Macaca fascicularis: one gene and its partners. The protein of the gene in region 4 purifies or fractionates together with the protein of the main gene of each other region. This does not show direct contact. Links are inferred from orthologs where the notes say so. Each region holds a gene or a part of one and is shown on either strand. Other genes may lie near its edges. The genes, in order: RTEL1, CDKAL1, PPAT, MMS19, POLE, DNA polymerase delta catalytic subunit and CIAO3.

Region 1 (4,252 bases), on a different chromosome or scaffold from region 4:
GCTGGAGGTGCTTTGAGTGACCCATCAGGACATGGAAGCAGGTCCGCCTGGCAGGTGCACGGCCTCCTGCTTGAAGAGCCAACCACGCTCCAGGTGGGACGGCAAAGCAGCCCTTGGCAGGCAGGAGCCACAGAGAGAGGGGTCTGGCCCTGGGATGCCCACCGTGCTTTTGGGGAGGAGCTGGGAGACATAGCAGTGCCGTCTTTCCAGCCCCAGCTGCCACACAGAGAAGACACTGGCTGTGGCATCACTGGCCGCAGAGAAGGCCACAGTGGAGGTAGGGCTGAGCCTGGGCCCTACCACCTGCTGTGCCCACCCCACCTGGTCCCTGCCCAGGTCTCGCCCCCGCTCAGAGCCACGTCTATGAAGAAGGCAGTGCCTGGTCGTCCTGGGGCCTGCAGCTCCACGCCCAGTAGCATGCACAGAGCACCGCACTGCATGCACAGGCCGGCCGTACATTCCAGGGTTCTTCTGCGGCCTCCCCCAGCTCAAGCACCCCCCACCCCAGGCGGACACTCACGAAGTTGTCACAGAGCTGGGCAGCCCCACCTAACCCTGCCATGACCTCGTGTGGCCAGGAGGTTCAGTGTGGGCAGCACAGAGGCAGCCTCACACGGCTCCACACAGCCACCTGTGCCTCGGTTTCCCCAAGGACTGATGGCCTCCCAGTCAGGGACTTGTGGGTCTGCTTCTAAAAAATGCACCGAGGTCCAGGAGAGGCAAGTGTGTGCCCAGAGCACCCAAAAATGGGGCTTGCCCTCCACAAACCGCACAAGCCCCTCTGCCTCAGGGAAAGCAGGTGCTGCCACAGGCACAGAGCCAGGAGCAACCTCACATGGGAGGGGACGGGCATCGCAGGGCAGGACGGGGCCAAGAAGGGGGCCAGGGCCGCATCCCCCATCATGGGCTCGCAGGGACACCCCCGCCGGCAACCTGCAGGGTCCCCGTTTGTCTGTCCCTGGAGAAGCTGTTCAGGAAGCTACGTGTGTCCAGAGCTCTTCATCTGCGTGCAGCTGGGGCTGCCAGGAGTGGGTCCCCCCTGGCCTGAGGGCCCGGACAAGGCAGGAGCGGCTCCCTGGCCCCCACTCCCCTTCACGTCCTCCCCCACCAGCATCACCCTGGGCACGTGCCACCAGACCTCGTCCTCCCCCATCCCCGCGGGAGGCCCAGTGTGGGTTTGGGTCACAGGAAAGGAGCCAAGCGTTTGCCTATCGGAAACAGGTGGTGTGGGGGCCGTTCTCCCACCCCCACATCTAGAGTCAGTAACTAATACAGCAGGAGAAGGCACCCGCCCAGCTTCCATCAGGGAAGGAGACGCCGGAGGAGCAGGCCCCACCTGGATGATGTCCGCCAGCTTCTGCAGTCCGGCCGTGTTGGTGAACACTCCAGCACCTGGGGAGGTAGCATGCCGGGCGCTGACACCCGCACTGCAGGCAGGGGAGGCCCCGACCCCAGCCCCCGCCCTTCCAGCCATAAGCCAGCTCAGCCCGACTGCCAAGCTCCATCTCCTGCCCAACGGAGGGCCCAGGGTGGAGCGCAGTGTCCACTCAGGGCGGGCAGCTCGCCTGCCCTTCCCAGCAGCCAGGAGAGAAGCCATGCAGGGACAGCGTCTCCAAGGGGGCCGGTGGAACTTGAAAAGAGGCTCTATGGTCACCTAAGGTTTGAAGCAGCAAGAGCCGCCCTCCCCAGCACCTGGGAGCACAGCAGAGGCCCCAGCGGGCCGGCATCTCAAACCAGAGCAGCCCATGACGACACTGCCTCTGGGCAAAGCCTCTGGACCCCACAGCTCTGAGAAGCAGAACTCAGGGTGTGTGGAGAAGCCTGAGGCCCCACAACCCAGCCAGGGCCTTGGGCTGCTCTTCCTTAAAAGGGGAATAATGGGATGAGTCTGCAGGACGAAGCCGCCAGCTGCAGAACTGGGACAGGCTCTACGGCAGTGGGCAACCGGCACTAACGCCTCCACGCCCCGATCAGGTGAGGTTCTGTGAGCCTGTTCCTGCTGACGGCCAGGTGATGGCCAGGCGAGCCCTGACTGCCAGGATGGAGGCCTGCTGCACCCCCTACGCCACGTCTGCCCACACCAAGGACCCCGCCCTGGCACTCACGTCCGGCCAGGTGCTGGATGATCTGGTCCAGCGAGTCCAGGATGCAGCCCTTGGTCTGAAACGTGATCCGGGCTTCAGCAAACAGCTCAAAGATGTAGCTGCGAGGAGAAGAAGGCAGGCTCGAGCCTGGACAGGGGATCAGGCTGCAGCTTTGGGAATTGAAGGCAGCAACTGTGGAAGCTTCCTTCCCTCCGAAACAAACTGAGCCCTCCAGGGGACGCCGGCATTGGGGGTGAGAGGCCTCCGCCCTCAGGAGCCTCCAGATGGGAAGAGGAGGCCTGGCCGGCACAAGAACAGCACCAAGGAAAAGCCGCCTCAGGGCAGAGGCTGTCATCAGAGGGAGGGATGGGGTCGCCGGGGGGTCGTCAGGGGCTTCTGGGAGGCAGCGGCTCTGGGCAGAGTCCCCAAAGCCTTGGGAGAGTGACAGTGATGGCGGCAGCAGAAGCTACAGGAGGGGCCCCTGGGGGTGCAGGTGGCCGAGGAGCCACGCCAGAGCCTTGAGCATTACGCTGAGGACACTGGCTCCACCTGGAAGCAACTGGGAGTCGCCACAAGGTCGGCGCTCAGGCAGAACGCGCTCGCCTTGGCGGCTGTGCACTCAGTGGAGCCCCACACGGGCCCCAGGCCTGACCCTCATCTGCCTGCAGGACAGACAACAAATGCTGCTGCCCTGGCCACGGAGAAGACAGGAGACCCACGGAGCCTTCAGAATGTTCCGGGCCTCCCGGAGTCCAAAAGAGGTGGTGGCTGGGACACTCATCGTCCTAACAAGAAGGTCTCATTCTAACAGGCACCTGAGGAGGTCCAGGGAAAGGCCTGGAGGAGGACAAACTGCAGGAAACCCAGCGGCCCCGCATGGGAGTGTGTGCTGTTCCGTGGGTGTGTGTGCTGTTCCGTGGGTGTGTGTGTGCTGTTCCGTGGGTGTGTGTGCTGTTCCGTGGGGGTGTGTGTGCTGTTCCGTGGGGGTGTGTGTTGTTCCGTGGGAGTGTGTGTTGTTCTGTGGGTGTGTGTGCTGTTCCGTGGGGGTGTGTGTTGTTCCGTGGGGGTGTGTGTTGTTCCGTGGGTGCTGTTCCATGGGGGCGTGGGTGCTGTTCCATGGGTGCTGTTCCATGGGGGCGTGGGTGCTGTTCCGTGGGTGCTGTTCCGTGGAAGCATGTGCTGTTCCGTGGATGTGTGTGCTGTTCCGTGGGCGTGTGCGCTGTTCCGTGGGAGTGTGTGCTGTTCCGTGGGCGTGTGTGTGCTGTTCCGTGGGTGTGTGTGTGCTGTTCCGTGGGTGTGTGTGCTGTTCCGTGGGAGTGTGTGCTGTTCCGTGAGGGTGTGTGTGCTGTTCCGTGGGGGTGTATGTTGTTTCGTGGGAGTGTGTGTTGTTCCGTGGGTGTGTGTGCTGTTCCGTGGGGGTGTGTGTTGTTCCGTGGGGGTGTGTGTTCCGTGGGTGCTGTTCCATGGGGGCGTGGGTGCTGTTCCGTGGGTGCTGTTCCGTGGAAGCACGTGCTGTTCCGTGGATGTGTGTGCTGTTCTGTGGATGTGTGTGCTGTTCCATGGGCGTGTGTGCTGTTCCGTGGGCGTGTGTGTGCTGTTCCGTGGGCGTGGGTGTGCTGTTCCGTGGGTGTGTGTGCTGTTCCGTGGGAGTGTGTGCTGTTCCGTGGGGGTGTGTGTGCTGTTCCGTGGGGGTGTGTGTTGTTCCGTGGGAGTGTGTGTTGTTCCGTGGGTGTGTGTGCTGTTCCGTGGGGGTGTGTGTTGTTCCGTGGGGGTGTGTGTTGTTCCGTGGGTGCTGTTCCATGGGGGCGTGGGTGCTGTTCCGTGGGCGCTGTTCCGTGGAAGCACGTGCTGTTCCGTGGATGTGTGTGCTGTTCTGTGGATGTGTGTGCTGTTCCGTGGGCGTGTGTGCTGTTCCGTGGGAGTGTGTGTGCTGTTCCGTGGATGCGTGTGCTGTTCCGTGGATGCGTGTGCTGTTCCGTGAATGCGTGTGCTGTTCCATGGGAGTGCGTGCTGTTCCGTGGATGCGTGTGCTGTTCCGTGGGCGTGTGTGCTGTTCCGTGGATGCGTGTGCTGTTCCGTGGGCGTGTGTGCTGTTCCGTGGGAGTGTGCGCTGTTCCGTGGGTGTGTGTGCTGTTCCGTGGGGGTGTGTGCTGTTCTGTGGGGGCGTG
Region 2 (4,833 bases), on a different chromosome or scaffold from region 4:
CCATGCCCAGCTAATTTTGTATTTTTAGTAGAGACGGGGGTTTCACCATGTTGGTCAGGCTGGTCTTGAACTCCCGACCTCAGGTGATCCGCCCGACTTCCAAAGTGCTGGGATTACAGGCGTGAGCCACTGCGCCCGGCGGGAAGTTTTTTATCGTAGCAAATCTCCAGGTTCCATTCTGAATTAGAATCTCCAAGAGTAGTGAAGCACGTGAACCTAGAAACTGTCCAGATAATTCCACTATAGATTCCTAATTAAGAACCACTATTCTACAGTAATGGTTCTCAATCTTGAACACTCATTCTATTCACCTGAAGAGCTTTTGAAAATTCCCAACTAAGCTTGCAGTGAGCCGAGATCACGCCACTGCACTCCAGCCTGGGCAAAAGAGCAAGACTCTGTCTCAAAAAAAAAAAAAAAGAAAAAGAAAATTCCCAACTAAGCCCCAAGATAGCGGAATGAATCTCTGAGAATGGAGCCTGGGCCTCAATATCTTTTTAAAACTTTCCAGTCATTCTCATGTGTACAGCCACAGTTGCAAAGCAATGTCCAGTAGTTTTTTTTTTTTTTTTTTTTTTGAGACGGAGTCTCGCTCTGCCGCCCAGGCTGGAGTGCAGTGGCCGGATCTCAGCTAACCGCAAGCTCCGCCTCCCGGGTTCACGCCATTCTCCTGCCTCAGCCTCCCAAGTAGCTGGGACTACAGGCGCCCGCCACCGCGCCCGGCTAGTTTTTTGTATTTTTTAGTAGAGACGGGGTTTCACCGTGTTAGCCAGGATGGTCTCGATCTCCTGACATCGTGATCCGCCCATCTCGGCCTCCCAAAGTGCTGGGATTACAGGCTTGAGCCACCGCGCCCGGCCTGTCCAGTAGTTTTCAAAGTGTAATTTCCACATCAGCTGGAGTAGCATCATGGGGAACTTGTCAGAAATGAACATTTTTTCTTTCTTTCTCAATTTTTTTGTAAAAACAAGGTCTCACTTTGTTGTCCAGGCTGCTCTCAAACTCCTCCCATCTTGGTCTCCCAAAGTATGGGATTACAGGTATGAGCCACCATGCCCAGCCAGAAATGAAAATTCTTGAACCCCACTCCAGACATACTGAATCAGATGTTTTGAGTAAAACCTAGCAATATTTAACAGGCCCTCTAGGTGATTCTGATCTGAATTAAAGTTTGACAATCACTGTCCCAGAATTATTCTTTCATAAAAACCACCTAGAATGCATGTCAAATATACATAACCTAGTCAACTGATTTTCAACAAAGATGCCAAGACAATTCAACAGAGAAAGAATAGGTTTTTTTCAACAAATGATGCTGGGACAACTGGATAGCAACATGTAAAAAATAAAGTTGGAGCTCTATTTCACATCATATACAAAAAATTAACTGAAAATGGATCAAATACCTAAATTTAGGAGCTAACATTATGAAACTTTTAGAAAAAAACATAAGTACAAATCTTTATGATGTTAGAGTAGGCCCTCCTTTCTTAGCTAAGAAACCAAAAGCACAAGCAACAAAAGGAAAAACAGATTAGATGAAGAAGATATAGAAATGGGCCAGGTGCAGTGGCTCATGCCTATAATCCCAACACTGGGAAGTCAAGGTGGGAGGATCACTTCAGACCAGGAGTACAGGGCCAGAGCCTAGGCAACACAGACCCTATCTCTACAAAAAAAAAAAAAAAAAAAAAAAAAAACAGTAAAAATTAGCCGGGCATGGTGGCATGCACCTATAGTCCCAGCTACTTGGGAGGCTGAAGTGGGATCACTTGAGACCAGGTGGTCAAGGCTGCAGTGAGTTGTAATCGAGCCATTGCACTCTGGCCTGGGTGACACAGGGAAGCCCTGTCTCAAAAACACACACATACAAATGGCTGATAAGCACGTGAAAAGATGTCAACATAATGAGCCATCAGGGAAATGGAAATCCAAACCACAATAATATACCATTTCATACCCATTAGGATAGGTAGAATCAAAAAGACAAATAATTGTTGACAGGCATGTGGATTACATCACCCAGAGGGAAAGAAAAAGAGAACAGAGGTAGGAGAAGGTACAAGACCACGACTTGAGAGACTCCAAATTTAACTCTCATATAAAGGAAAATCAGCTTATAATGGATTCCAAGAAGCAGCCACCAGAGAAGGAAAAAAATCCATGGGCCATGGAAGGCAAAGGAAGAGGGCATGTCAAAAAAGTGGACATGGTCAATGCTGGTGAATGAAAACGAAAGGTTAAGTAAAATAAATGAAAATATCTCTTCAATTTAGTGGTATGTAAAGGACAATGGTTCCATAACACGATAGTGGCAAATAGCTAAGAAATTAAGCTACCTCTCTGCATTTTCTAATATGCAGAAATATGTACAGCACTCAAACATAAAAGGTTTAAAATAAATCAGTACCTTAATTATCTGCAATTAGTCTAAAGTCCTCTTGAAAGATGAGTCTGGAAAATAAAAATTGATTAGGAAAAGCAAGCACCAAAGAAGTTCACAAAACCACTGTAAGGATTCTTTACTTAAAAGGAATCAGACTCCAAAAAAGACTGCTTTATACAGCAGGATTAATGATGCTCCATACTACTTGTAACTTCTTACTGATTACAACAGGTGTGCTGACATCTGCCGTGACTGTGATCCAGTGTCTGTAGTAATGTTGTATTCAGCACTACAACACGTCTGCATAGTGCGAGTAACCAACCACTACAAAACAGGAATAAGTCAGTAAATAGGCAGACATCCAGATCACGTTCCATTCGAAAGATAACTGTCGTCCCGAGATTCAGAAAAAGGTTTTATGAGCAAAGAAGAACGAAAAGTGAAAAAGCAAGACATCTGCTTTTCTCAATAACTTCTGCTTAAATTCTTAAGATACTGATCTGGGAAAGCTATGTAACTGCGAAAGCCCTGTCACATCTACAAATTCACTAAGGTATAAAGTGGGAGAACAAATGAAGTTAAATTTGACAATAAGGAACGAGGTGCCCAAAATATTACTAACTGGAGAGCGGCACCTGAGGCCAACGACCCTACCCTCGCTCCTGGAAGCCCCATCTGCCTCCCAATTCCCCCATCCCAGCTGGCAAATCCCCCTTTTAACTGCGAAACAATTTTGCAAACAGCCCAAGAAAGACTGAAACTGGAGAAACAAGGCTTGCCATAAAAGGAGCCGTCGCCACACTCTGCCCCACATGGACCCAACCGCCACCCTTACCCAGAAGTCGGGAAGTAAAAACCAGTCCAAAGTGAGAGAATCAACCCGCCACTCTCCGGAAACTGCACAGACTTTAGATGGAGAGCGCCATGACACATACGTCCCGCCACGTTTATTTACGCATGCTCAGCGACGGTGGCCCGAAGAGATCAAATTACATCATTGCTGAAAGGGCTGGTTCTGGTTTAACTTAGTTTAGGAATGATTACGCTTCAAGTTCCTTTGATTCCAAGAACTAAAATAACAACCCCAAGTCCTCGGGTTCCTAGATACGCTTAATAGCCAACTTCTCCTAAGCTCTTATGTGTTAGACACTGTGCTAAGTACTTTGCATAAACATTATTTCACTATTTATTTATTGTTATTATTCCCATTTTACAAAAGCGGACACTGGAAGTTTAAGGACTTAATCTAAGTTACTCTACTAGTCGTGCTGCCCCGTGGGCTGGATCCGATGCTGTCTGACTCCCAAAGAACTTGCTCTTTTCACTGCATTTTACTAGCCTCCTCAATCGTTTGTGAAGAGGTCTCTTCTTTAATATTAAAAAACAGGAAGGAAAGGATAAAGGTCAGTTGGTAGGTTTCGCTTAATATACATTATTTACCACCACGCAAGTTTTTTTGTTTTTTGTTTTGGAAAACTTAGATGGTAGTTTAGCAGACACCTATGGAAAGAAAATACTTTCGGCCGGGCGCGGTGGCTCAAGCCTGTAATCCCAGCACTTTGGGAGGCCGAGACTGGCGGATCACGATGTCAGGAGATCGAGACCATCCTGGCTAACACGGTGAAACCCCGTCTCTACTAAAAAATACAAAAAAAAACTAGCCGGACGAGGTGGCGGGCGCCTGTAGTCCCAGCTACTTGGGAGGCTGAAGCAGGAGAATGGCGTAAACCCGGGAGGCGGAGCTTGCGGTTAGCTGAGATCCGGCCACTGCACTCCAGCCTGGGCGACAGAGCAAGACTCCGTCTCAAAAAAAAAAAAAAGAAAATACTTTCATGGAATACGAATTCTCACCCGCTTGCTCCACATATGTTATCTCACTTTAGTATTCATTACCCAAGACACTGTATTTGACCATGCGTTTACCAGAAGAATATCTTTACTTAAAAAAGTAAAGGCAATAGGAGGCAGTAGTTCGTGAACAAGGGTCAGAAATCGTGAGTTTAATGCCTGACTTAGGGTTTCACAGTGATTTGGGGCAATTACTTTGTTTTGCAAATGCTTCTGCTAGTACAATTTCATCTCATTAAAATGCCATCCATCTACTCAAGAGGCTGATGTGGGAGGATCACTTGAGCTCAGAAGTTTGAAAACAGCCTGGGCAACACAGTGAGACCCTGTCTCTAAAATATATTTTTAAGAAAAAAAGCCACCCTTTTCTCTGTTTATTCATATCCATAACATAATCTAAACAGTGCCCTGGGATCCACTATTGTCTTTACCCATCTGAATTAAAATTGTGTATTTATGTTGCCCTACTTTTTTTTTTTTTTTTTTTTTTTTAGATACGGTCTTCTTCTGTCACCCAGGCTGGAGTGCAGTGTTACAATGACAGCTCACTGCAACCTCCGCCTCCTAGCCTCAAGAGATTCTCATGCCTTAGCCTCCCA
Region 3 (4,252 bases), on a different chromosome or scaffold from region 4:
AATACTAAATTTGAAGGCATGCAGACCTGAAAGTGGGTAGGGGATCTTGAAAATTTGGTTAGTGGGTCTGACCTTTTCTACCCTCAACACTCTTGATGAACTGGGTATATTCCTATAAAAGTAGTACACTACAGTGTTAACTTTCAAGCTGGGTTTGTTAGTGATCATAATGGTGGCTACCCATCCTCACTAATTATTACTGATAGAAGAAAGGAATCAACTGTATTGAACAACGAAATGTAGCAGATGCAATAAATATCGCTTGAGTGTACTCTATGATAATTACAAAGTTCTGAGCAAGACTGACCAGGACAAGGGCAGCCCCATGGACATGCACAGATTGAGTCTGAATGGGCACTACAGAACATTTTCAGTAGGGAGCTAAAAGTAGAGATGAAGTTTAGCATCTGGGTAAGGGGTAATGTCAGGAAACGGTGAGTTAGTGGTTATCTCTAAGTGGTGAATTTTTAAGAAATTTTTACTCCATATTTATACGTTCATGATTGTCTGAATTTTTAAATGAACTATACATTTTTTCATTTGGGGACAGAAAAGCACAATAAGGTCATTATAATGCCTACAAACAGGGCTGGACAAAGCTCTAGGAAATGTCTAAAGACAGAACTGAAAATAGAATGACAATGAATGGTACAAAAGCCTAGTTTCTAGATATTTTTGACCCGGCAATTCATTATTATTCAGCTTCTGTAACTGTTCATCATATGTGAATTGCCCAGCTCTAGAATGCTTATAGGATGATGGAGCATGTGGGTAACAATCTATTACTAAATATCACCAGGTTCTGAGGTTACCAAGTCAAGATGATTGGGAGCTAATAAACTGAAGAAACCCAACATTAATGAATGAATGCCTGAATGGATAAAAGGAAGCTACTAGGAATGAATATAAAGACAGGCAGTTTAAAAAAAAAAAAAGATAAAATGATGAATGAAAGCATAGGCACAAATTTGACATCATTAGCACAGAAAGCTCCAAACAACATGCTGTGAACCAAGAGTTTAAACACTCTCTCCCTTTTCCCATACTCTAGTTTTCTGTCATTGTTTCCAATTCATTTTTTTATGTCATCTCCAAGTTTATACTCCATTTTATTTTTATGATTTTGTGACATATAAGAAGAAATATATATGTTGATTTTTATCCTGGTCTTTCCTGGTACACAGCTCCTAAAACCCTTAGAATTGCCAAAATGATAAGTGTCCTTTTGTATGCTGTTGAGATGACCAGTAGCTAGGGGTTCCTACATAGCATCAGTATGAGGGCTGGTTGCCAGGGGAATCAACCAGAGGGTTGGAGCTTCCAGCTTCGGGGAGAAAGGCTAAAGGTTAAGCTGATCACCAGTGGCTGATGATTTAATCATTCATGCCTACTTCATGAAGCCTCTATAGAAATTCACAATGACTAGGTTCAGAGAACTTCTGGATAGCTGAACAGTTGGAGATGCCTGGAAGGTGGTGCCCCTGGAAAGGGCATGGAAGCTCCATGCTCGTTCCCACATACCCTGCCCTTTCCATCTTTTCACCAGACCGCTCTTCTGTAGCCTTTGTAACATCCTTCATAATAAACTGGTAAATGTATACAAAGTACTTTCTTGAGTTTTGTGATGTTTGAAACCAAAGGCAGTGCCAGGGCTGTTGCAGGAACTCCCAATTTATAACTGGTTGTCAGATGTACCAGAGGCCTGGACTTGCAACTAGCATCTGAAGTGGGGGACAATCTTGTGGGATTGAGCCCTTAACTTCTGGAACCTGACTTTACCTCCAGGTACTATCAGAATACAACTGAATTATAGGATACCCATTTCGTATCCTCTGGAAAATTGGCTGGTACAAGAAACCCCCCTATTTGGCCACAGAAGTGTGCTGAGTCTGAGAATAGGAAAAACGCTTGGTTTTTCTTATTTCATACGAGCTTTGTACATAGCAACAGAGTTAAAGAGATAGCAAGTCCATAAACTCTAATTTCTCTATGCTTCCAACCATAAATCAACTCTCCCAAATCTCTAGAGCAGTGCATTCAAAAAGTGAGTCTAAAATGCATATTCTCACCCTTGTCTCCAACTCTAGGGGACATCTTACAATCTGGAATTGTAACAAGTACTCCAGATCATTCTGATGCAATTGTTGTTGCAGTTAGGTAACAGGTAGCAACAATTAGAAAATGCCTTTTACAAAGATCCTTAACTTTTATTCATTAACCCATGCTAATCATTTTAAAAGGCTTAGGGAAAACAAACAAACAAATGTACCTTTTTCCTTAATCGAGCAGCATTTACCAATTCACCATTATGTGCCACAGCTATCTTCCCATGAAGTGTTTCAACAACAAAGGGCTGACAATTTTCTAATTCACATTTTCCTGTAGTGGCATATCTTGTGTGTCCAATTCCAAGATTTGAAACATACAATTTTTTCAAATTGTCTTCAGTAAAGACGTGATTTACAAGACCCATTCCCTTGAGAAATCAAAAAGTGCAACTTAGAAAAAAACAGACTAGTACTGCTAGTAATAAACACCTCTCTTTTCTGCTCAGCCAATCCAAATAAGACAAAGAAGTGCATTTAATTTCTCTGTGTTTCAGAATTCTAATCTTAAAAAAAGGCCAAAAACAAATAACCTAACTGTAAGAACTGTGAAGCACTTACTTAAAAAAATTTATTGAGGCAAAAGTCACATAACATAAAATTAACCATTCTACAGAGAAAAATTTAGTGGCATTTAATACCTTCACAATGTTGAAGCACTTGTGTTTCATAAGATACTATTCACTAAAACATTTAAGAACAGATGTACTAAGCAATACAATTTGTCAAGCATAAAAACTAAGATTTGCATTAAACAAATCAAAGCATCTTAAAGCATTTAAATAAATGACTCCCTATTTGAGTTGGTCTTAGGCAAAAAATTGTCACTGGGGAAGAAATACATCCTAATTTGATAAATGTTAGGATATAAAGTTGAAAGTGGCTGATCCAAAGAATATCACTTTTGACTGCAAATTATTTATTCAACCCCCCCATATTAATGATCACCTGTCTTTTGTTATCTTTGTCATCCCATTTCTTTCACTTATTTATTTATTTATTTTATTTTTTGAGACGTAGTTTTAGTCTTGTTGCCCAGGCTGGAGTGCAATGGTGTGACATTGGCTCACCGCAATCTCCGCCTCCCAGGTTCAAATAATTCTCCTACCTCAGCCTCCCAAGTAGCTGGGATTACAGGCATGCGCCACCACACCTGGCTAATTTTGTATTTTGAGTAGAGACAGGGTTTCTCCATGTTGGTCAGGCTGGTCTCGAACTCCCGACCTCAGGTGATCCTCCTGCCTTGGCCTCCCAAAGTCCTGGGATTACAGGCATGAAGCACCATACCCAGCCTGTCATCAAGATTTCTTAAAGTTCAAATTTACCTTGTGTGATTTGAATGTTGGCACTGAACTCCCGTCACTAGTCACAATACCGGCACTCTCCTGACCCCTGTGAATATAAAAAGATATTAGCTGTTAAATCTGCCAATTGATGAGCTTCTTGAAGAACTTTATCAAGCATACTTTCTCGACAAGCACCCATGAACTTAGTGTGACAACACATTAAATGCTACTTGTACTAGTACTACTCCTATTGATGATGCTGATGCTGATGATTAGCAATCACAGCAGATGACAATGTAACAACTAGATATCTAATTCTAACTAACATGTCCTAAGCATTTTATGCTGTAAGAATAAATAATTTAAAACCTACTGGAACCCCAAATATACTTTAGGCCTTGAGAGAGATATGACTGTGATCCAAGTCACATATGGTTACAACTTCTGTTTCTCAGACTATAGATTAACTCACTTTCTTATTTTTCTTGTTCTATACAATGACTAGAGAGAATTAAAAGACATCAGAGACGGCCGGGCGCCGTGGCTCACGCCTGTAACCCCAGCACTTTGGGAGGCCGACACGGGCAGATCACGAGGTCAAGAGTTGGAGACCATCCTGGCCAACATGGTGAAACCCTGTCTCGACTAAAAATACAAAAATTAGCTGGCCCTGGTGGCACACGCTTGTAGTCCCAGCTACTGAGGAGGCTGAGGCAGGAGAAACGCTTGAATCTGGGAGGCGGAGGTTGCAGTGAACCAAGAAGAAGAAGAAGAAAAAAAAAAGACAACAGAGGTGATAACATCCTGCCTTCTCAAGTGATGACCTTTGTTAAAGATTAACTTCTAGGCAGAGGCGGGTGG
Region 4 (4,252 bases):
GAATGTCATTTCTATTGTGCTCACTCCCCTTCCTGGCTGCCACAGCCCCATTACCCTGTAGAATGTTGCTAAGGAAGGAGTCAAGGAGGTCCTCAGCATCAGCCCTCAGCACAGAACGAGACAAACACGCAGTCAGGGAGTGGAGGGCCGCCAGGCCCTCTGCCTCCACCCGCTCACTTGCTGTCTGGAACACCTGTCAAGGAGGGATCCCATGGCTACTGAGGTGAGCCTGCACCAGATGAGACCCCACCAATCCACTGCCTATTTCCTTGTTGGAGAGGAGAGTGAGAACCTCTAGGACACAGAAATGGAAATTAACACGTCAACTGAGTGTCTTCTCAACTGGTGTGTTCTTACCAAGTCCTTAGTCACACTCAGGACAGAGACACACACTTTCTGAGAAACAGAAAGCCAACTCTGAGCAGTGGCTCTGCTCACCTTTCTATTCACCACGGTGCCAGAGGCACCATAACCTGCACTCCTTGCCACAGAAGGACAAGAAGTGGGTAATGTGCAAAGGTGATCAACTGCTCTTACCAAGCAGCTGACTGTCACATAGGGACTCTCTCTCGTCATTCAACTAGAATTATGTCCCCCTGCTTGCCTCCTGAATAACCAGGCATAATACCTTGGCCCTGGGGATGACAGAGGGAAAAGGACAGGATGTATTATTTCCCCTCATGCCTGACAATTGAGAGTTAATAGTAGTGAATTTATCTGAGTAACACTCACCTCTCTGCGGATAGAAGCCCAAAGGCTGGGGAGGAAGTCCTTCAGCTCCTTCTGTCCATACACAGCACAGCAAGCATTCTGCCAAGGAAACCGCTGCTATCAGTTATGTGCACACTCAGACACCTAGGATGTGCAGGTACCTCAGCATAAGGACACCTGGAGGAGCCTTGGTCTCAGCAGAAAAACCAGTGAAGATTTTTAACAGTCCTACTCAGGGAACAGAAAAATAGGAGATTACCCTGGTTGATAAAATAGAAGCCTAAGAGGGAGTGCTGGTCAGCCTTTCCTCAGTTACTATGGGATGGGACACGACAATATGCAGCTGGGGGCTTCAGGTCGACACAGAGGCCCAAATCCTGGGTGTCCTCTTCTGAGGCCCATGAACTGTTTCTTGGCTATCCAAGAATCTATATCCTTTAGTACCCCTAACTTGTCAAAAGGTAGCTGGGTCCTGCAAGGAGAAAAATCACTCACCAGAGTCTGTAGAGAATCCAACTTGGCACTCAGAACCTCAGAATCCACTTTCTCAATCAACAGGGGCAGCAGAAACTGTGGGACAGAAGCAAGATCTTAAGCCTGAGATGGGTAGTATGTCAGTCACATCAAGTCCTCAGAAGCAGGTACTACTTATCAAGGAGCTATACTGAAGTCAGGAGCTATGAATGTGAGCTAACTTCCTGCCAAGCAGTGGCCAGAGCCCCACTACCTCAAAAACAGGCAAGCTGACAAAGTTACAGGATTTTAAAAGACAGCACCATATAAGGATTGGGTTTATTTATTTATTTATTTATTTTGTGTAAGAGGGGACGGGGTCTCCCTATGTTGCCCAGGCTGGACTTGAACTCCTGGGTTTAAGTGATCCTTTCCACTCAGACTCTCCTGAGTAGCTGGGACTATAGGTGTGCGCCACTGAATCCAGCTCTGGATTATGAAGAGATGCTAAAGTTTTCTATATTGAAGGTTTGAAGATACCTGCCACATAAGACACTTGTAGGGTGTCATGCCCTAAAATGTATACCAGATCTTTTTTTCTCCATGCTTTTACTGCTCTTTCTTCAGAACCTTCTATGGGCAGAGGCTATACACCTTAATTTGGCTAGACCCACCTCAGCGAATCGTGGTGTAGAAGCCAGCACAGCGCGAAGACTCAGGATGAGGTCTTCTCTCTGGATACCATGGGGGTCATTAGGTGGCTGGAAAAGGGAGAAGGGCTGTGGGTTTGTGTAACATTTCAGACCACCCTTGAACCCAGGCTTGAACCTGGTAACCCTGTAGAACAGGGTGATACTCATACCCAATCAGGGAAGACAGTAAGATAATGATGCCTCAGCAAGAAGACATGCTTGACCTTTTATGTATTCCTTGGGAACTTTTTTTTTTTTTTTTTTTTTGAGACGGAGTCTCGCTCTGTCGCCCAGGCTGGAGTGCAGTGGCTGGATCTCGGCTCACTGCAAGCTCCGCCTCCCGGGTTCACGCCATTCTCCTGCCTCAGCCTCCCAAGTAGCTGGGACTACAGGCGCCCGCCACCTCGCCCGGCTAATTTTTTTTTGTATTTTTTAGTAGAGATGGGGTTTCACCGTGTTAGCCAGGATGGTCTCGATCTCCTGACCTCGTGATCCGCCTGTCTCGACCTCCCAAAGTGCTGGGATTACAGGCTTGAGCCACCACGCCCGGCCTGGGAACTTTTATCTTTAGGCATTTTTAAAGATCTGATTACACATTTTTCTATCATTTCACCACTAAGAGATAAGCATGCTTAACTTTCTCGTGTATTGCTTTCTTCTCTGATATATATTGTTACTATGTGCTAGTATATACTGTTTCTGTATACTTAAAGATAATTTTGTACATGCAGTTTTTAATTTTTTTCACTTAACATATTAAGAACATTTTTATGGTATTATTCTTTCATAGCATTAGTTTTAGTGGCTATGATTTCATTTTGTGGTTGTACCAGTTTATCTAAATAATTCCTTGTTGATGGACATTTCCATTTTTTTCACCCTTATAAAAAGCTGTAATTCTGAAAACAGACAGCCTTGATGGTTTCTGTACCAAGACGACAGATTGAAAACATAAATCAGGTTTTCCTTTTCCTCTTCGCAAACTCCACCAAAAACACAGTAAAAGAAGGGATTTATTTATTTATTTTTTTTTTTTGAGATGGAGTCTTACTCCGTCACCCATGCTGGACTGCAGTGGCTCAATCTTGGCTCACTGCAACCTCCACCTCCCAGGTTCAAGCAATTCTCCTGCCTCAGCCTCCCAAGTATCTGGGATTACAGGCGCCTGCCACCGCGCCTGGCTAATTTTTGTATTTCTAGTAGAGACGGGATTTCACCATGTTGGTCAGGCTGGTCTCGAACTCCTGACCTCAAGTGATCCTCCCACCTCAGCCTCCTAAAGTGCTTGGATTACAGGTGTGAGCCACTGCACCTGGCCTAGAATTTCTATTCCTGAATTACATACCCATAATGTCAAAAATGAGAGAAAAGATTGAAGACATTTTAGGCTTACAAATCTAAAAAATCCTCACTTCTTCCTACATTCTCACAGGAAAATACTAAAGGAAGTACACCACCAAACTGAGGGGGTAAACCACAAAATGAGGAATATGTGAACTCAGGAAATAGGAGATCTGATCCAAGAAAAATGATAAGGGAATCTAGGATGACGGTGAAGGAAGATCCAATATCTACTCTGCATTAGGAGTAAAAATCAACCTGTTGACATTGTTTGGCTAAGAATGGTTTTAACATTTTTAATGTTTGAAACAAACCAAAAGAATATCTTGTGACAAGTGAAAATTGTATGAAATTCAAAGTTTAGTGTTGATAATAAAAGTTTTATTGGGATATAGCTACTGTAGCTGTTCTTGTCTCTAAGGCTGTTTTTGTGCAGTAACAGCAGAGTTGAGGAGACCATATGACCCACAAAGCTACTGTCTGGCCTTTTATAGAAAACGTTGGCCAGGCATGGTGGCTTATGCCTGTAATCCCAACACTTTGGGAAGTCAAGGCAGGTGGAAGCCCAGGAATTCAAGACCAGCCTGGGCAACAAGGCAAAATCCTGTCTCTATAGAAAAATACGACAATTAGTCAGGAGTAGTGTCGTGTGCCTATAGTTCCAGCTACTCAGGAGGCAGGGGTGGGAGGATCACCAGAGTACCAGAGTCCAGGGAGGTGGAGGCTGCAGTGAGCCGTGATGGTGCCACTACACTCCAGCCTGCCTCAAAAAAAAAAAAAAAAAGAAAAAGAAAAAAGAAAAAGTTTGCCAGCCTCTTCTTAGAGTGAGCATATAAGCATAGTGAAGAAACTGAACCCTAAACTGATCAGATCCACTATGATGGCACACGATCGATACTGAGTTGTGGCTCGGCGTGGTGGCTCACGCATATAATTCCGGCACTCTGGGAGGCTGAGGCAGGTAGATCAGTTGAGGTGAGGAGTTCGAGACCAACCTGGACAACATGGCAAAACCCCATCTCTACTAAAAATATATAAAAAAAAAATTAGTCGGG
Region 5 (4,252 bases), on a different chromosome or scaffold from region 4:
GTCACCTCCTACCTCAAGTCCCTTCTCTACCCATTCCCTGTCGCCATGGATGGCACAAAAACCCCAGGTGTCACCCCCTCCCTGAGAACCAGCATCCCTGGGCCTCCCCCTGCCCCTGCCCCACATGATAGACCCTGAATCCTCACGCCCCTCACTCCCTGCCTTGGATCAGGACTGTCACATGCTAAACCAGCCCCAGCCTCCTGGCCTCCCTCTCCAAGCCAACTGCTGAACGTCAGAGCTAAACAAACACATTCAGGCTTCAAGCGCTCCAATGGCACTGTGCAGAGTACAGAGGTCACGGGGGCCCTCCTTTCCTTTCCTTCCCTCCTTTCCCTTCCTTCCCTCCTTTCCCTTTCTTCCCTACCTTCCCTTCCTTCCTTCCCTTCCTCCCCTTCCTTCCCTTCCAGCCTTCTTCTCTTGGCATTTCCACATCCACCTGTCCTCCCAACCAGACATGTCAGAGCCCCCGAACGCCGTGATTCTCAGCAGCTTTGAGCTGCCTCCCACCCCAGCTCATCTGGAATCTGCGCTTGTCCTGTGAGGCTCGTCCTGTGAGGCAGCTGGGCTGCCACATCCCAATCTGGCCTGGGCAGTGCAGCTCCATGAGGTCCTAGCTCTGGGACCTGTGTGTTGAGTGTGTCTTCCCGGTGGCTACCCCACCCCAGAGGCTGATGCTCAATGTGCCTGATCACTGACGAACTGTCAGCCAACAGTCAAAGACAGCACATCCTGGGCCCCGGCAGGGTTGTAGCTGCCATCCTCTTGGGTGACCTGAAACACCTCTCAGAGGCCACCCTCCTCCCATGAGATGTGGTGACAGTACAGTCTGCAAGAGGCCTTCAGATCTCGCTCGCAGACAGCAGTGATGAGCCGTGCTGCTGTGCAGCCCCTACCTGAGGCAGTCCATGTGGATGCACTGGGGCGCCTTGTACTCCCCCTGGCTGTCCTTCTGGAAGCCTATCTCCTGCTGCATGCTCAGACCGTGGACTGCTGCCCGGGCCTCCACAAATGGCCTGGGTTCGAAAGAGGACAGACAAGCAAGTGGGAAGATCAGGCTCTAATTCCCCTTTCTCCATTCCTCCCTCAGATCCAGGGAGGAACCGAGACACGGGAGGTGCAGAGTGAACCCAGAAGCCACCTCCTCAGTCAACATGGGAAGCGCCCCGCACCATGCAATGCCCTCCCTCTCAAACGCTGCCCAGTTACTCACAGAGAAGACACAGACTCACCAGTCAAAAAAGTCCCCGTTGTAGGTGACCATGATGGTGGGTTTGGTCTCCTGGACGTGTTCAAACCACCTTTGGATCAGATGAGCCTAAACCCAAGTCACAGCAGTCAGAGGTCTGCTCTTTCTCTTCTTCAAGCTATTTCCAAATTCCTCCCCCAAAGTTCAGAAGCAGCAGCCTCATGCTGGCCCTTATTCCTGACCCCAGCCCCAGTTTCTGGCAGAAAAGAGGGTCATACCCTAAGAACGAAGCTGATGGAGCTGCAATTCTGATCCGACGGAATGCCGAGGCCTTGGAAAGATCCGCATGCCCCTTCTTCCCACAATACCAGGCAGTTTCACAAGTGATACCTCCTTACCTCATCGGGTTCATTGAAGACACAAAACGGCCCTTCATATTCTGGCTTGGGGGTGAACTCAAAATCTTCAATATCTTCTGAAACAATCTCCCTGTTGGTGATGAGGTAGCCCTAGTGAAGTTCATTAGCAATTAGCACAAGTCAGAGGCTGCAAAGCCAAGACCTGGTGTCCCCACCCTGCCCACACACTCTGCCTAGAGATTCTCACTACAAAGAAGTCCACAGCAACGTGAAAGTGCCCTAAGCTTCCTGAGAAGAGATCCTCCATGTCTGGATTCCCACTGGAAAGGAGAGGGTACAGTTGGAAGTCGGAACGGCCTGGCTGCTCCCATTCCTGGACTAACTTATTATTCACTCAACACATCCTAACTGTGGGGCAGACGCTGCTGTAGTATGGGGACCAGACAAGGTCCCCATCCCAGGAGCTTTCTTCCCAGAAGCCGCCTGCTCACCTGGCCGTCGATCATGTAGGAAATCATCATAATCTGGTCTGTCTCAGCATCAGGAAACTTGAGGGGCAGTTTGGTCGTCTCAATGTCAAACGCCAAAACCACAGGGTCCTGTGGGGACAAAATAAGCATAAAGCCAAGCTCTAAACTCCCCATCAGGCCTCCCTGAACACCGGCCCCCGGCCTGCTCTACCTCCCTCTGGTTGTTAAGAGTGAAAAGGCTCCAGAGCTGGGAGAGGGACCCTAAGACTGACCAACCTACGTCAAGAGCATCACGACTCTCTATGGTGTGGAAACTTACACACCTAAGAGAGCAGCTGATCACAGGACAAGCCTAAAATCACAGAACTTTAGTAGAAAAACTCTTTAGAAGGCCGGGCGCGGTGGCTCACGCCTGTAATCCCAGCACTTTGGGAGGCCGAGGCGGGCGGATCACAAGGTCAGGAGATCGAGACCACGGTGAAACCCCGTCTCTACTAAAAATACAAAAAATTAGCCGGGCGCGGTGGCGGGCGCCTGTAGTCCCAGCTACTCAGGAGGCTGAGGCAGGAGAATGGTGTGAACCCAGGAGGCGGAGCTTGCAGTGAGCCGAGATCGCGCCACTGCACTCCAGCCTGGGCGACAGAGTGAGACTCCGTCTCAAAAAACAAAAGAAAAAAAACAAAAAAAAAGAAAAACTCTTTAGAAGACATCACCTCATTCTGATGGTTATGACAACCCTGAAAGGTAAATGTGGCACAGAGATGATATCTTCGTTTCGGAAAAGAGAAAACTGAATACAGACTTTCCCAACACCACAAAGTCATATTTGAACCAAGGCCTTCTAGTTACAAATCCATTTTTCACCATGTCTCTTCACTATCAACTACCCAATGGAAGTCCTAGCTTTCCCTCAAATGTCCAAATCCTGCCTAGCTCAAATACTGATGTCATGCAGTGATATACAACAAAAAAGGACATGATACTGTCAGAAACTGATGAAAAACTAACTCCATATTTCCTTTAATAAAGTATTTGGGGGGAAAGCAGGAAACATATCTTTGAGTCAAATTTACTCTTCAGCACTAAAGAATATTCTCTCCAGAAAACCAGAAATTTTACGATGAAGGTAATACAAGCAACAAAACTTACAGGTCGTTCAACAAGGTCATCTCGGCGGGTGATTTCCACAGGAAAAGCGTTTCCACGGTATCTGACATTGTACCAATGAGCCTGCAAAACACACAGTGTGTTAACTGGAGTTCTACATCCGGGAAAGTCTACTCCTGTGTGGATTCACCCATAATGATCATCTCCTGGCTGTTAGGAAATTCATGTGAGCAGCAACCCAACCCTGCCCTACTCACCACATGGATCTTCAGGTCAATGGAGAGGCGGATGTGGTAGGGAACATCGTACTCGCGCATGTCCACAATGTTGTCCAGCTGATCAGCTATCTTCTTAGAGGTTTCCTCTTCATCAGTAATGACACCACCCCTCTGCAGAACACTAGGAATTAACAAGAGAGCAACTAACTCAGCTGCCAGGGTCTGGAGGAGGTGGGACCAGAGTTCCAAATCAGTAGCAAGAGATGAGACCAGAGTCCAAACTGAGGAAACACAAAAGGTAAACTGAGGTGGTTTCAATGACCAGGGCAGTCCTTCCTTTAAGAATGGCTTGGATTGGGCCGGGCATGGCAGCTCACGCCTATAATCCCAGCACTTTGGGAGGCCAAGGAGGGCGGATCACCAGAGGTCAGGAGTTTGAGACCAGCGTGGTCAACACGGTGAAACCCCGTCTCTACTAAAAATACAAAAATTAGCCAGGCGTGGTGGTGCACGCCTGTAATCCCAGATACTTCGGAGGCTGAGGTAGGAGAATCACTTGAACCTGGGAGGTGAAGGTTGCAGTGAGCCGAGATTGCGCCATTGCACTCCAGCCTGGGCAACAGAGCTAGACTCCGTCTCAAAAAAATAAAGAATTGCTTGGATGATAACCCTACAGACAGGAAAAAAATTCAGGGTAAGATGTATGCATTTTATGTGATGTGAGTTACACCCCAACTAAAAAAAAAAAAAAAGAGGGCCAAGCATGGTGGCTTATGCCCCTAATCCCAGCACTCTGGGAGGCAGCAGGTACACTTAGGCCCAGGAGTTCAAGACAGGCCTGGGCAACATAGGGAGACTCATCTCTACAAAAAAAAAAATAATAATAATAATTAGCCAGTCATGGGGTAC
Region 6 (3,685 bases), on a different chromosome or scaffold from region 4:
CTCCTGAGCCTATGTTATCTTCCCACCTCAGTCTTCCAAAGTGCTGAAGTTACAGGCATGAGCCACCACACCCAGCCGGAAATAAATTATTTTATTGCTTATAGGTCCTGGGGCATACATGGCATGCCTGGAGGCCACACACACACACACACACACACACACACACACAGGTCAGGGAGTGCAGGCAGGGAGGGAGAGAGAGAGGGATCAGTGGACTGATGCCTTTATTGGGTCCAAGGTGTCAACCAAACAGGTTTCCTGAGGGGGGTTTTAATTGGTGGGTTCAGGCCAGGCACGATGGCTCATGCCTATAATCCCAGCACTTTGGGAGGCTGAGGCAGGAGAATCGCTTGAGCCCAGGAGGCAGAGGTTGCAGTGAGCTGAGATCATACCATTGCACTAGCTTACAGTAGCTTGTTGACTCAGCTACTGTAATCTTAGTAGCTGGGATTACAGGCATAAGCCACCACACCCAGCTAATTTTTGTGTTTTTAGTAGAAACGGGGTTTCATCATGTTGGCCAGGCTGGTCTCGAACTCCTGACCTCAAGTGATCCGCCCACCTCAGCCTTCCAAAGTGCTGGGATCACAGGCATGGCCCACTGCACCCAGCCTCCAACTTATATTTTAAATGAATGTCGAGGCAGCCTAAAATTATAAGAATTCAGTCAGGTGCAGTGGTTCATACCTGTAATCCCAGCATTTTCAGAGGCCGAGGTGGGAGGATCACCTGAGGCCAGGAGTTCAAGACCAGCCTGGGCAGCATAGTAAGACACCATCTCTACAGAAAATAAAACAATTAGCCAAGCCTGATGATGCATACCTGTAGTCCCAGCTACTGGGGAGGCTGGGGCAGGAGGATTGCTTAGGCCCAGGAGGTCGAGGCTGCAGTGAGCTGTGATTGCTCCTCTGTACTCCAACCTGGGTGACAGAACGAGACCCTGCCTTGAAAAAAAAAATTTAAAAAATGTCACTATGTCACCACCCCAAGGTCACACTGCTGTAAAATGGCAGAGATGGGATTCTTGTAGCCAGTGCCCTGCTCTGAAACTCCCAGTTATTGGCCGGGCGCAGAGGCTCACACCTGTAATCCCAGCATTTTGGGAGGCCGAGGTGGGCCGATCACCCGAGGCCAGGAGTTCGAGACCAGCCTGGCCAACAGAAACCCTGTCTCTACTAAAAATATAAAAATAAGCTGGGAGTAGTGGCGCATGTCTGTAGTCCCAACTACTCGGGAGGCTGAGGCAGAATTGCTTGAACCCTGGAGGCAGAGGCTGCAGTGAGCCGAGACTGAGCCATTGCACTCCAGCCTGGGCCACAGAGCAAGACTCTGTCTCAAAAACAAAGAAAAGCCTAGGAGCCCAGGAGTCAGGTGCCCTGGCCTTTCCCGGGACCCTGTCCCGGTTTGAGCTGAGAGGCTGGGAGACCAGAAGCAGGAGAGATAGCCAGGCCAATGCAACTGCCTCCAGATCTGTTTGCCTCTCCGTTATAATCCTTTGAGCAGCGCTGTCAACCCATTTCACAAACTCTTTCATCCATTAGCTCAACAAATAGGGAATATTACGTGCTGGCCACAAGGCAGAAGGCAGGACAGATGTAAATCTCGAACATTAAAGCACAGAACTCCGGAGGGGGCCTGGGGAGGACAGCTTCGGGCAGGGGGAGTGACTTGCCCCCGTGGTGAGGGGCGCAGAGCCAGGAGTATGTAACAGCCACTTCCTCACCCCACTTCTCAGATCCAGGAGATGGAGGCCGGGGCGGAAGTCTCGGAGGAGGGTGGATGGGGAAGGCGGGGCCTTAGGGACCCCTCGCCTAACGCGTGCCCCCGACCTCACCGCAGGGACCCGCAAGAAGCTGCGCCTGTACCAGTTCCTGCTGGGGCTGCTGACGCGCGGGGACATGCGTGAGTGCGTGTGGTGGGTGGAGCAGGGCGCCGGCGTCTTCCAGTTCTCCTCCAAGCACAAGGAGCTCCTGGCGCGCCGCTGGGGCCAGCAGAAGGGGAACCGCAAGCGCATGACCTACCAGAAGCTGGCGCGCGCCCTCCGAAACTACGCCAAGACCGGCGAGATCCGCAAGGTCAAGCGCAAGCTCACCTACCAGTTCGATAGCGCGCTGCTTCCTGCAGCCCGCCGGGCCTGAGCACACCCGAGGCTCCCACCTGTGGAGCTGCTGGGGGACCTCACGTTCCAGCCAGGATCCCCCTGGAAGAAAAAGGGCGTCCCCACACCCTACCTGATATGACTTATGCATCCCTACCTTTTGGGGGTAGGGGGAGTGCTGCCCTGCCATAATCCCCAAGCCCAGCCCGGGCCTGTCTGGGATTCCCCACTTGTATCTGGGGTCCTTCTGGGATTTCTTTGTCATGTACAGACTCCCCAGGATCCTCAGGTTTGGGGTGACAGGACCTATGGACCACTATACTAGGGGAGGCAGGGTAGCAGTTCTTCCAGAATCCCAAGAGCTTCTCTGGGATTTTCTTGTGATACCTGATTCCCCAGTGAGGCCTGGGACCTTTTTAAGATCCCCGTGTGTCTGTAAACCCTCAATCTCATCTGGGGTGGGGGCCCTGCTGGCAACCCTGAGCCCGGTCCAGGGGGCCCTCTTGTCGGATCTGAGATCTCCTCCTTATGTCTGGGGCCCTCTGGGAGCTGTTGTCATCTCAGATCTCTTTGCCCATCTATGGCTGTGTTGCCACATCTGTCTCCTCATCTTTGAGATCCCCCAATTCTCTGGAACCATTCTGCTGTCCCTTTTTATGTGTCTGGAGTTCCCCAATCACATCTAGGGCTCCTCCGAGATCCTTTTGTCATGTCTGAAATCACTCTTGAGAGGTCTGGGGTGCGGGGGGATGGGGAAGTCAGTGAAATGTGTCTTGTCTGGGCCCTGTCAGGGACACCCTTGTCATATCTGGGATCCTCTAATCACATCTGAGACCTCCTAGGCTGTCCATCTGATATGCCCTTTCAGGGACCCCACAAAGACTGAGTTCTCATGGGGACCCTACCCTTCCTGGTGGCCCTCCCTATGGCCATGCTGAGGACCACTCTGGCTACATGACTGATTTTTGGGTGATCATGGCAGCTCCCCACCCACGTCATTTCTAACCAGAGGTCTCAAGGTGGTCACCCCCTGCCCCCCAACCCAGGCCCCGGTCCCTGGTGATGGTCTCTTTAATTCAAAGTAGCATTTGGCGGTGGAGGTGTGAGGGATCCACATTAAAGCAGACCATCAGCTGGGAGTGGCTCACACCTGTAATCCCAGCACTTTGGAAGGTGAGGCAGGGGGATGGCTTGAACCCAGACATTCAAGACCAGCTTGGGCAACATAATGAGACCTCATCTCTACAAAACATTAAAAAAAAAAAATTAGCCGGGCATGGGGGTGCACACCTGTGGTCCCAACTGCTCAGGAGGCTGAGGTGGGAGGATCTCTTGAGCCCAGGAAGTCGAGGCTGTGGTGAGCTGTAATCGTGCCACTGCACTCCAGCCTGGGCGACAGAGTGAGACACTGTCTTAAAAACAAAAAAACAGGCCGGGCACGGTGGCTCATGCCTGTAATCCTAGTACTTTGGGAGGCTGAGGTGGGCGGTTCACGAGGTTGAGAGATTGAGACCGTGCTGGCCAACATGGTTAGTCCCAGCTACTCGGGGGGCTGAGGCAGAAGAATCACTTGAACCCAGGAGGCAG
Region 7 (4,252 bases), on a different chromosome or scaffold from region 4:
CAGCTTTTTCCTGCCCCACAGCCCCGTGAGTGTGCACCGGGGCCAGCACCTGTCCAGGACCCCATGGGTGGGCGGGGTGGCAGCTGCTTTGCTGAGAAACCAGTGGCAAGCCTTATTCCTGTGATTCTGATGCACTAACCAAGTCGTACCAAAAAGTAGACTTTGATGGCATTATGAAACTCTAGAACGTGTGTGTGCATTTTTGTAATACATGTCTAATTTTTAAAAATTAAGCAGCACACAAGCCCAGCCAGCAGCCATGTTGGTTGTTGGTTATGAGCTGGACTCCACTATCCTCTGGCTCCATGTCCTCATGCAGAGGGGGCTCGCGGTGCGCACCGAGTTCTTCTCCCTTGTAGGACGGCGGGACCCGGAGGCTGGAGAAGGCCAAGGTCTCCCTAAACGACTGCCTGGCGTGCAGCGGCTGCATCACCTCTGCAGAGACCGTGCTTATCACCCAGCAGAGCCACGAAGAGCTGAAGAAGGTTCTAGATGCTAACAAAGTAAGTGGTGGGCGGCCAGAGGACTCTGCTTTAACCTGAAATCCACCCCAGCAGCCGAGGCATTTTGCCAAGGGCAGCTTGTGTGGTGCCGCCTGCAGGTGGCACCTGCCTTTCTGAGGCTTGGGATCTTGGTGATTTACCTGTCAGTTGGTGCCAGTGGTGAACGTGTCAGGCCCGGAACTTCAGGTTCTAAATATACATCAAAATGACACCCTTGCCGGGCGCAGTGGCTTGCACCTGTAATCCCAGCACTTTGGGAGGCTGAGGCGGGTGGATCACCTGAGGTCAGGAGTTCAACACCACCCTGGCCAACATGGCAAAACCCCGTCTCTACTAAAAATACAAGAATTAGCCAGGTACGGTGGTGCACACCTGTAATCCCAGCTACTCGGGAGGCTGAGGCCGGAGAATCACTGACAGAAGTTGCAGTGAGCCAAGATCATGCCATTGCACTCCAGCCTGGGTGACAGAGCGAGACTCCATCAAAAAAAAAATGATATCCTTGGCCAGGCACAGTGGTTCACACCTGTAATCCCACCTACCCAGGAGGCTAAGGCAGGAGAATCCCTTGAACCTGGGAGGCAGAGGTTGCCGTGAGCTCTGATCGCAGCACTGCACTCCAGCCTGGGCAACAGAGCAAGACTCTGTGTGGGGAAAAAAAAAAAAAAAAGACACTCTTGATAGAGCTGGCATGCCCTCTCCACAGCCGACGGCATCTCACCGGGCAGCTCTGGGCACCAGGAATCAGCATAAGGCCGGCAGAGTAAGCAGCGTCTTCCCCTTGCTTTGCAGATGGCGGCGCCCAGTCAGCAGAGGCTGGTTGTAGTCTCAGTCTCGCCACAGTCTAGAGCATCGCTGGCTGCACGGTTTCAGCTGAATCCTACAGACACTGCCAGGAAATTAACCTCATTCTTTAAAAAAATAGGTAGGCTTTGAACCTGGGGTAACACTGCCACTCCACACCAAGGGGGCGTCTGAGTGAGCCCAGGCTCCTCGTGCCTCTGAGTCACTGACATGCCACCCAGCCCTGAACTTCAGTGCTACAGAAACTTTATTCCCTCTGTGACCTCAGCCTGAAGTTTTGATTTGACATTTGAGAGCAGCGCCTTCTCACAGAAATCGTCTGCATTCTGACTGTGCACTTTCTGTGAGTTGGGGCTGACCAACTCCTTGTACTTTTTAGCTGATGATATTAAGGCACTCTCTCCGGGGCTCCGCTGGGTTCAGCTAAGGCCAGCTTCGGCGGACTTCGGTTGTGTGCCTGGAGCTGGGCTTGGGTGTCTTGAGAGGCCCCAGCTAACCAGCTCCTGTGCCCGGTGGCTCACTGGGAATGAAGGGGCTGGACCTCATGGCTACTGTGTGCCTTTCATGGGTAACCGCCACGTCCAGTCCCTTCGTTCCCAGTGAGGCAGGACTGTGTGCTTTGTACCCGGCAGACTGCCTGTCATCCAACTGTGTCCCGGGTCCCTCACATTGGAAACCTGTTGACACTGGCAGGTGCCCCGTGGCTCTTGTCTGACCCACACCCACGTCCAGTTGGTGTCTGAGCAGTGCTCTGGCACTGGGAGCCTGACCTGGTGTCTCAGGGGAAACCTGGCCTGGGGCAGCCCGTAGTTCTCCAGGTGGAAGGTGTGGGTTTCGTCCCCACCGGAATAGGAAGCAAGTTCAAAGATTTTTACTTACAGATCACGGGCAGGTGGGGCACAGTGAGTCCGAAGGCCGTCTTCCGACCATGGGTTACATGAGGCAGGAATGACAGGTCAGGCAGAGACAGAGGGACCCACGTGCTGGTGCCTCTGCTGGGGTCCAGGGCACGATCAGGCAGGTTTACCAAGCAGTTCTAATTGCTGGGCTTGGAGCCGGCGGGCCTGTCCCAGGAGTCCTGCCGTGTGTGAGGGGCGGCCACTGTGGCAGGTCTGCACACTCAGGGTCCGAGGGGCCAGTCCAGCAGGCCACGTCCAGCTGTGCCCTAGGGAGGGTCACCGGGAGCAGTGCACGTGGCAGTTCCCTGGACCAGCCTCGCTAAGGAGCTGGGAGGGTGGAGGACTGAGCTGCCGAGCGGCTGCCCTGCCTCTGGGGTGGGAAAGCAAGCCCTGCATTCGCAGGGGATGCCGAGGCAACGCGGCTTAAGGAGGTCCCCACGGTGGGGCCGGGGCTTTGGCACGGGAAGCGGGTGCCACACACGTCCCCCAGCAGCACCACGGTGGTCCACACACAGGCGTGTACTCGCGTGGGCGTCCCGCGCGGGGCTAGCCAGGCACCCACCTTCACCTTCCAGGGGTGCACTTTGTCTTCGACACCGCCTTCTCAAGGCACTTCAGCCTCCTGGAGAGCCAGCGAGAGTTTGTGCGGCGATTCCGAGGACAGGCCGACTGCAGACAGGCCCTGCCCCTGCTGGCCTCCGCCTGCCCAGGTGTGCTCATGGTGCGGGTGGTGTGAGAGTCAAGTTCGAGTTAAGTTAAAATGTGACATGGTATGGACACGGATGACAAGGCGGGGGATAGGGGGTGGAGACGCAAGCCGGTTTCGCAGGACGGGTTAGAAATGTTGGCACAAATGGCCTTTTGTGGAGAAGGGGCTGCCCTCCCTTGGGAGCCACCCACAGTCACCTCAGGTCCCTAGGCGGTGTTGCGTGCACGCCGAGCTCCACGTGGTGGTGGGAAGAACAGGAACGAGCACTCTTTAATGTCATCATGATCTCCCGTATGAGCGGACCCGCCTCCAGAATGTCGTGCTGCTGCCTGTGGGTGCGGGGGCCGCCGTGCGCCCCCGCCAGCCCCGTGTGCCCCTGTCGCCTCAGGCTGGATCTGCTATGCCGAGAAGACGCACGGCAGCTTCATCCTCCCCCACATCAGCACCGCCCGGTCCCCGCAGCAGGTCATGGGCTCCCTGGTCAAGGACTTCTTCGCCCAGCAGCAGGTAACGGCGTTGGGCCGCCCCAGGCTCAGGCTGGGGAGCGGCCAGACGTGATTATTCTGGCTGTTTGCCGCGAAGCCGCAGGAAACAGTCCTCGCCCTGGTGTGTGGCCTTCCCGAGCACACCTCCACCCTTGTTCCCTCCTAGTTCAGGCCACTCCTCTCCTGCTGGGCAGCACAGGGCCACGTTCTGATCCACAGCTGCTCACTGCTCACGCAGCGACAGCCAGGCCTGGGGCTGAGGGAGCAGGAGGCCCTCGGGCAGCCCCGGCCACCAGATCCACAGGGTGCCCAGCACGACCCCCACCTGAGGCCCCGCGGGACTGAAGCCTGACGACACTCAGCCAGTGGGGGGCGGGAGAGGGTGAGGGTGGCCCTGGTGGTGCCTGGGCCCGGAGTGCCCATGTCCCCTACAGCACCTCCCGCCCGAAAACACGGATTTTCACCTGGGGCTGGGGCTGGTTGGTTCCCCTGTGACATCCGTTTCCCCGGCTGGTGTGCAGCGAGAGGGCCTGAGCTGTGGGAAGGCCACTTCTCCTCCTTTGGACTTGGCTGTTAGGGAGTGCAAGCACGCTGGGAACGGGTCAGTGTCGTTTTCTGTCGCAGCCAGGGCCTGTCCTGTCCAGGGGCACATCCACAGAGCCAGCAGGAGGCTTCCTGGGAAAGGGAGTGAGGCTCACTGTCCCTCGGGGTCCGGCCTGGCTGCAGGATGGCTGAGTTCCAGGTCACGCCTCGGCCACCGTACTGCTGGGATTGGGGAGACGTGTGTTTGTTTTCCCTCGTAGCGCTTGACTCCTGACAAGATCTACCACGTCACGGTGATGCCCTGCTATG

The links.
Region 1: the proteins of MMS19 (region 4) and RTEL1 purify together in Homo sapiens (affinity purification with western blotting; 4 studies listed by BioGRID and IntAct, with this or other methods). This does not show direct contact. The link is inferred for Macaca fascicularis from reciprocal best matches to the Homo sapiens genes MMS19 and RTEL1.
Region 2: the proteins of MMS19 (region 4) and CDKAL1 purify together in Homo sapiens (affinity purification with mass spectrometry; 4 studies listed by BioGRID and IntAct, counting the BioPlex papers as one, with this or other methods). This does not show direct contact. The link is inferred for Macaca fascicularis from reciprocal best matches to the Homo sapiens genes MMS19 and CDKAL1.
Region 3: the proteins of MMS19 (region 4) and PPAT purify together in Homo sapiens (affinity purification with mass spectrometry; 3 studies listed by BioGRID and IntAct, with this or other methods). This does not show direct contact. The link is inferred for Macaca fascicularis from reciprocal best matches to the Homo sapiens genes MMS19 and PPAT.
Region 5: the proteins of MMS19 (region 4) and POLE purify together in Homo sapiens (affinity purification with western blotting; 3 studies listed by BioGRID and IntAct, with this or other methods). This does not show direct contact. The link is inferred for Macaca fascicularis from reciprocal best matches to the Homo sapiens genes MMS19 and POLE.
Region 6: the proteins of MMS19 (region 4) and DNA polymerase delta catalytic subunit purify together in Homo sapiens (affinity purification with western blotting; 3 studies listed by BioGRID and IntAct, with this or other methods). This does not show direct contact. The link is inferred for Macaca fascicularis from reciprocal best matches to the Homo sapiens genes MMS19 and POLD1.
Region 7: the proteins of MMS19 (region 4) and CIAO3 purify together in Homo sapiens (affinity purification with mass spectrometry; 3 studies listed by BioGRID and IntAct, with this or other methods). This does not show direct contact. The link is inferred for Macaca fascicularis from reciprocal best matches to the Homo sapiens genes MMS19 and CIAO3.

The regions. Positions count from the first base shown.
Region 1 is NC_088384.1:119,795,520-119,799,771, reverse strand, and holds part of RTEL1 (regulator of telomere elongation helicase 1), read right to left. Parts: intron 2,204-4,252; coding exon 2,106-2,203; intron 1,393-2,105; coding exon 1,337-1,392; intron 1-1,336. UniProt on the Homo sapiens protein: A probable ATP-dependent DNA helicase implicated in telomere-length regulation, DNA repair and the maintenance of genomic stability. Acts as an anti-recombinase to counteract toxic recombination and limit crossover during meiosis.
Region 2 is NC_088378.1:152,419,094-152,423,926, forward strand, and holds the start of CDKAL1 (threonylcarbamoyladenosine tRNA methylthiotransferase), read right to left. Parts: upstream 3,342-4,833; 5' UTR 3,222-3,341; intron 2,455-3,221; 5' UTR 2,411-2,454; intron 1-2,410. UniProt on the Homo sapiens protein: Catalyzes the methylthiolation of N6-threonylcarbamoyladenosine (t(6)A), leading to the formation of 2-methylthio-N6-threonylcarbamoyladenosine (ms(2)t(6)A) at position 37 in tRNAs that read codons beginning with adenine.
Region 3 is NC_088379.1:77,459,879-77,464,130, reverse strand, and holds part of PPAT (amidophosphoribosyltransferase), read right to left. Parts: intron 3,498-4,252; coding exon 3,431-3,497; intron 2,477-3,430; coding exon 2,270-2,476; intron 1-2,269. UniProt on the Homo sapiens protein: Catalyzes the formation of phosphoribosylamine from phosphoribosylpyrophosphate (PRPP) and glutamine.
Region 4 is NC_088383.1:106,423,401-106,427,652, forward strand, and holds part of MMS19 (MMS19 nucleotide excision repair protein homolog), read right to left. Parts: intron 1,926-4,252; coding exon 1,839-1,925; intron 1,282-1,838; coding exon 1,207-1,281; intron 811-1,206; coding exon 733-810; intron 194-732; coding exon 55-193; intron 1-54. UniProt on the Homo sapiens protein: Key component of the cytosolic iron-sulfur protein assembly (CIA) complex, a multiprotein complex that mediates the incorporation of iron-sulfur cluster into apoproteins specifically involved in DNA metabolism and genomic integrity.
Region 5 is NC_088385.1:139,788,188-139,792,439, forward strand, and holds part of POLE (DNA polymerase epsilon catalytic subunit A), read right to left. Parts: intron 3,525-4,252; coding exon 3,383-3,524; intron 3,249-3,382; coding exon 3,168-3,248; intron 2,148-3,167; coding exon 2,040-2,147; intron 1,699-2,039; coding exon 1,588-1,698; intron 1,319-1,587; coding exon 1,233-1,318; intron 1,017-1,232; coding exon 897-1,016; intron 1-896. UniProt on the Homo sapiens protein: Catalytic component of the DNA polymerase epsilon complex. Participates in chromosomal DNA replication.
Region 6 is NC_088393.1:58,334,861-58,338,545, forward strand, and holds the end of DNA polymerase delta catalytic subunit, read left to right. Parts: intron 1-1,839; coding exon 1,840-2,138; 3' UTR 2,139-2,793; downstream 2,794-3,685. UniProt on the Homo sapiens protein: As the catalytic component of the trimeric (Pol-delta3 complex) and tetrameric DNA polymerase delta complexes (Pol-delta4 complex), plays a crucial role in high fidelity genome replication, including in lagging strand synthesis, and repair.
Region 7 is NC_088394.1:1,490,191-1,494,442, reverse strand, and holds part of CIAO3 (cytosolic iron-sulfur assembly component 3), read left to right. Parts: intron 1-359; coding exon 360-503; intron 504-1,209; exon of another isoform or gene 1,210-1,295; coding exon 1,296-1,428; intron 1,429-2,781; coding exon 2,782-2,916; intron 2,917-3,303; coding exon 3,304-3,422; intron 3,423-4,203; coding exon 4,204-4,252.